Linked DNA regions of Daphnia pulex. The protein of the gene in region 1 purifies or fractionates together with the protein of each later gene. This does not show direct contact. Links are inferred from orthologs where the notes say so. Each region holds a gene or a part of one and is shown in the gene's direction. Other genes may lie near its edges.

The links.
Region 2: the proteins of glycogen synthase kinase-3 beta-like (region 1) and GSK3-beta interaction protein-like purify together in Drosophila melanogaster (affinity purification with mass spectrometry, with the first as the bait; 3 studies listed by BioGRID). This does not show direct contact. The link is inferred for Daphnia pulex from reciprocal best matches to the Drosophila melanogaster genes sgg and CG11523.

The regions. Positions count from the first base shown.
Region 1 is NC_060024.1:9,786,483-9,790,320, forward strand, and holds part of glycogen synthase kinase-3 beta-like, read left to right. Parts: intron 1-563; coding exon 564-750; intron 751-863; coding exon 864-1,117; 3' UTR 1,118-3,838.
Region 2 is NC_060028.1:7,359,519-7,362,035, forward strand, and holds GSK3-beta interaction protein-like, read left to right. Parts: upstream 1-1,607; coding exon 1,608-2,003; downstream 2,004-2,517. Other genes in the region: 5'-deoxynucleotidase HDDC2-like, read right to left, coding at 1-231, 289-450, 510-566, 632-696, 768-824.

The DNA.
Region 1 (3,838 bases):
TTTTTTCTCCCCTTTTATATCGACAGTCGATGCTCGAGAAAATTACTGTGAGTCGGGCTGAAGCTAAACCTGTGGTTAAGTTTCGCGTAAGTAGAATCCTGTCTCTTTCGCCTTAACGCCCCTCCTGTTAAACCCCCCTCCGAGCCTCCCCTGCTGACACGAGTAGGATAGGAAACACACACAAAAAAATAACTATCGATCGCTTGTGTTGTGTGCGTTGGCTGCTAGCCCTCCCTCTCTGCCGACACACACACACAGTCAAATGAGCGAATGCCTGGTGCATGAAGACTAGCGTGTTCACCATACGTGTGTACCATGTTCCATCCGTTTTTTTTTTGTTCCACGATCCATTGGAGAGATCCAGATTTTTATTTCATTTTCATTTTTTTTCTCCAAAAATAAAGGGTTTTCAAACAACGCTAAACACACAGAAAAAAATCTAATCATGAAAATGTACTGCAAAAATTTCTAAAAATTTTTAAATGTCCGGTGTTAATAGACGTGTCGCTGATTTTAGTAATCTCACCAATCGGTTCATAAATTTGAATTTGTGTTTTCGTCAGGTCTTCCGTGCTCGGACGCCATTGGAAGCGATCGATTTAGTCTCGCGTCTCTTGGAATACACCCCCTCGGCGCGCATCTCGCCTTTAGAGGCGTGCGCTCACACCTTTTTCGAAGAACTTAGGGACCCTCATACGAGGTTACCCAACGGGCGAGAATTGCCCGTCCTCTTCAACTTTACTGAACATGGTAACAGCATTAAGAAAAACCTAACGGGTCTTTGAAAACATTTTGTGCGATTTCTAATTATTGTTGTCTTGTTTCTCCTTTTTCGTATTCGCCTACATGGTGATGCATTACAGAACTGAAGATTCAACCGGCCCTGAACGCCGTGCTAATTCCGCCCCACATGCGAGGCGCTAGCGGCCTGATGGGCGTCATGAACGCCACATCTCCCTCTCAAGATTCTTCAGCCACTGGGTCTCCTAATTCGGCTGGTGGAGCGGAAGGATCTTCTGCAGCAGGAGCTTCGGGGGCCGCAGGGGGTCACATTCATTCACCTCCTGATGTCTGCTCTTCGACCGGTGAGACTCTTGGAGCCGTCGGAACTGCATAGAAGAATCGAATCGAATCCACGAAAAAGAAAAAGAAGAAGAAAAAAACTAAAAGACAAGACTTTAACCACCACCCAATCGTCTCCTCCTATATGCATGGCAGAAACAGGAGCTGAACCAAGGAAGAAAGGGGATAACTTTTTTTTTTCTTTTTTTGAATTAAATGGAAGTTTTTAAAAGCTAGAAGTCTTAATTATCGATTGCAACCGCTGCCATGGAAACATTCATTAAGCGTTAAACGAAAAAAACGAAACAAGAGGAAAAAAGGGTGGGTGACGGGAAGAAAAAGAAAAACTCTCCCCCCATTAAGGAATGAAGGACTAGACTCTTTTTTGAAACCTCCCAACAGCAACAGCTAAAGAATTGTAATTTGTAACAAGAAGCAAAACTTAGATTTTCAGGACATAGTCTTTTGTGAGCGCGGGAAATATATTCCTTTTCGGATTCATCGCCGGAGCTACGTCCCAGATAACACGGTCCGGTTACCTTGGTTCAGGTTCTGGATCGCGGACGTCCCTCCCATGGTTTATTTCCCACATCATTTGTTTGTTTTTTTTTTTTCCTTCTCGACTCCCCTTATACCAAATCGACGGATTAGCAGAGGATGTGTAGTTTATTGCGAGTCCCTCTGCAAGCAAAAATGGAAGCAAAAAACAAAAAAAAAAGACAAAAAAGAAAATTTCACGTGTTGTAGATCGTGTCGTCCTTATCCCCCCCCCCCTCTCTCTCTCCCTTCCCAACGACACTCCATCCTCTTTCCCTCCGTTTGTTGTACTGTACAGGAAGAAAACAAAATCACCTGCTCGAAAGCCACCAGGTGGACTGATGCGCGGAAAATTTCTCCGCTTCACCTCGTCCTCCCTCAAGAAAATCTCTCATCACCCCCATTTTAGGAGGAGGGCGGTTTCATAACAACCCTCTCACAACACACACAACAAGCTGCTGTTGCCAATTAATTTGACAAAATATCCCTTTTCGTTCACACTAGCCCCGATTCTTCCTCTTTATTCATTTCGTCGACAGCGTGCTCATACCGTGTGTGCACTACGATGCTGCTCCTTTACATCCCTCCTATCATGGCTCTTAAAAAAAAACGTATATTTCTTCTTTCGAAACGTTCAAAACTCGGAACTTTATAGACACCTTTTTTTCTCTCTCTCTCTCTATCCCGCTGCTGCCCTCCCTCTCTCTCCTCGTCTGGCGTAACTGAGTGAAGCTGTGCTATATGTCTCACGTGTATGTCCCTATCCCTGATTCCCGTTTATTCTCTTTCATTCTGGCTATCTCTCTTTTCCCTTTCTTTCTCTTTCTCTCTCTGATAGGTTTCGTTTCTTATTCATTCACATCCCTCCCCCACAGCGTCATGCCGAGTTAAATTTTTTTTTTTTTTATGATTTTAAAATGCAATTTCAGTTCTGAGTAGGTCAATATTATTACATACAAAAGAAAAACAAAAAATAAAACAATTGTTTCAGTATCAGTTGTATAGCCACTACCTACTTGTGCGTGTGCTGCTGGGGAAAAAAAGACAAAAGAGGTGGGAGGAAAAAATGTTAAAAAATTTAAATTTAAAAGGAAAAAAAAAAAAAAGAGTTTAGGGTCAGGCTTTTCTTCATTCTACCCTTTCTTGTGTTGAATTGATCGACGACGACAAAGTTATAATATGATGATGATTGCACACCCTCTTATTACCCTATTACCCTATATCCTCTTTCTACCGTATAAGGAAAATCCCGTTGACTCTTTTTCTCTCATGTCCTCGCCCTTGTTGACGTTTCCATGTTCTCGAAATGGAGAAATTTTTGCAAAACCTCCCTCTCCCCATTCTGCCCCTTTTCCCGAATATCCCAACCCGTTCTTTCCGCGCTATAGAAAAGTGGCGATTAAAGGAATGCGAGAGACGTGTCTACAACAACAGTTAATTAATTGCATTGGTGTTTATGTCGCATGGCTGTATGATGAATACAAAAGCTTATAAATACACTCGCGTGTACTGCCCGAAAACAAAATGTGAGGCTACTATTTGAGGTCATGGGCTCCATCAATCAAGTGTTTCATAATTATGTATGCAGATGGTGACTTTTAGCCAAGGACAGCGTAATGAATAATGAGGTAACTTTTGGCAATGGATATTTCTTTGGATTTCATAATTTTTTCTTTTCTCAATCGTTGGAGTTAATCTAGGAACAAACAACAAACCAAATGGAAATTGCACGGCGTGCGTCAGCCTTCAAATGGCGAGCTAATATTTGGCACGTATTACGGACATTTGATCGGACCTTGATTAAGATGAAAACATTGTTCAATCTGATAACGTCTTCAAAATTCATAGCAGCGCTTCAACGCAGTCGAGACGAATGGCCACAAGTATTCAGGGACGAGAATCACTGAGACGCATTACGCACCGCAATGCGTCGATCGTGACGTGAATCAAGTCGACGCTCACGCGCAGAATGCGCATACAAGACTGGCTCTATTTTTGTCGTTCGGACACTTGAAAACTAAATCCACTACCTCATTACCGGAATGACTTACCTAAATTTAGATGGTGAACGTGAGGGAAGTCACGGTCCCGGACCGCGGGACGAAACCAAATCTGCAAGTAAAAACAAGTTCACCTGAAAGCTTTCCAGTTGCCACTTTGAATTAGCCTGACATTTATTATTCCGTCATTTATATAGACTGCGACATTATAAGAAGACAATACGCCATCTTTGCAATCA
Region 2 (2,517 bases), on another chromosome or scaffold:
TTCGCCACGGGAGCTGTCAGCAGGGCTCGCTTCTGATTTAATTCATCCACCCAGCGCTTCACTTCCGGATGCTTGAAACGACCCTCGGTTGCAACGAAGAATTCTTGCAGAGCCAGAGGCGTCTTATGAAACTCCTCGTATTCGTAAGCTTGGCAAATCATGTCGAAGCGGTCGAGATCTTTGACCAAAATTGCTTCTTGAGTTTCTTGGTTTTCATACTCCATGAACAGACTGGGATAATGTAAAATTAATATTTGTAACAGAAAAGGCACAACATTTTATGTTCACCTTTTCATATCTTCACCAGACAATTCAGGCACCAATTTGATTAGAGTCTCCATGGCTTCTTCCTCTCGACGATGTTTGTCTTCAACTGACACACCACAGTGAGGAGTCAAATCACCAACAATGCTTTCTGCCATATCATGGACAAGACACATTTTAAGGCACCTGAACAGAATACATTTTGGAATTTACTGAAGATGAATAAAATAAGAGAATAAAAATACCTTTGAATATCAACATCTTTGGTTTCCAAAAGAAAAGTCAACATGGCCATTCGGTACCTACGTCAGTACAAAATAAAAAATATTATTGTGGATTTTAAATTTTTTATCTGATAATTGCCTACATGTGACCAGCCACAGTTTCACAATTAGGGATGTCCCTTATCACCCAGCCAGTTCTCGGAAGATGCTACGATACAAAAATAAAAACGAAATGCAAACGCCGGCATATTTTTGCACACAAAGAAGTAATTCATTCACCTTCAATCTTCCCATGAACTGGCAAAACTCAAGAACTTTAGAATTAACTGCTGTCATTTCTTAAATTATTTTTGTGCAAAAATCACAGAATATCTATTATAAATTTGTTCTTTCGTGTGCAGAGTTGGGCAGTGTTTAATCGGTTACCGGGCAGCCATCGGGGGAAGGGGGATAGGAATCAGATGATCAGTTGAAATAACGAGCTTAGAAATTCTATCGGTAGAGGGCCGACAAAAATAGCTTTTTATATGCTTTCTATATTGAGTTTATAATTGAATTTGTAAAAATATATATTTCGTAAGAAAAAAATCAAAAAGAAACCTGATTTAAATGCATTTTTTAACTAAATCTAGTACAAAGTGGTAATCAGCTGACCCCTAAAGGCATACTATTTACGTCGTCTGTTACTGTTTTGGAAATTTGGACTTTGGTTTAGTCTGGTTTCAGGTCTCTGGTGTTATTAACTGGTTCGCTCTGATTAGTGCCTTCTTTGTTGAGTGACGAGTGTCCACTCCCTAGTCCGTAATTCAATAAGTGGCATCAATCCTGTGCGATATCGTAAACCGTGCAGTACACATCCCTTGTTGAAAAAAAAGAGCTTTGTTGATTGTATACCGGACGAAGCGAAAGTACAAAAGGTAATTGAAACCGACTTATTTCTTCATTTATTTACTTTTCGTGACCATACAAATTCATATCACCAGTTAGTGATATGAGTGAATCTTAATTAGCCTTCAAACTTTAGAGTTTGAACAATAGTAGTTTGGTATGGATAACACAAAGCAAACAAACTTTGACTTTAGATATTAAATTAATATTTTCATCACTGTAGGACTCTCAATGGCTGGGCACGATTATGATGAACGAATTCTTAATGGTGAAGAATGGACAGTAGAAGCCCTTGCAGTAATACATGATGTCAAGGACCATGTATTGGAGATAGTTATTGCAGACAGATCTGTCAATAATGATCAATTAATTCACATGAATCTGACTACCAAAGAGAAACAACGTTATTGCATTGAACTGACTGCCCAAGGATTTCGAGTAGTTGGTTATGACTACAATCGAACAGATGTTTCATCTGATGACTACTTTGAAACACCATACGCTTTACTCGACAAACTTAGTCCTTTGTATCGACAAGCATTTGGAGATTCTCTAGTTTCTAAACTTTTGTTGCTACATTCGTCTCGAAGACATAGCATGGACAACGAACCACAGCTAGATGATTGACCATAACTTACCGATTTTGTGAAATTTTAAGAAATGAACCAAAAAAGAATGGACACCATTGTTAAAAGACAACCATCTGTGCAACATTTTTAAGTTAACTCCGGACCCTTAAGTAGTAGTACTTCGCTTCTTATTACAGACGAACAAACAAATATGTTCTTCATGCTTGTCCTCCTTCCTGTGTAATGTCTATGTCAAAACTGCTTCCGAATTCCTTTTCGGAATAGTTAATAAATTTAACGTCAGTCACTTTAAATAGAGTTATATGTAATGTCGTTTTATTGAAATTGTTACAGAATATATCTATATACACACACATAAACGTGTAAATTGAATTGTTCGTGTTTTGTTTTTTTCTCCGCACCTGCGCCTTTGAACCGGAATGCAATGCCTGCATAACATATATTGTGAATTTCATCGATTTTACTACCCTAGATTATTATTGACATTTCCGTTCAAGCATAATCGTTTGATATCGACCGTTGAAGGACAACATAACATGGAAGAGTGTAAT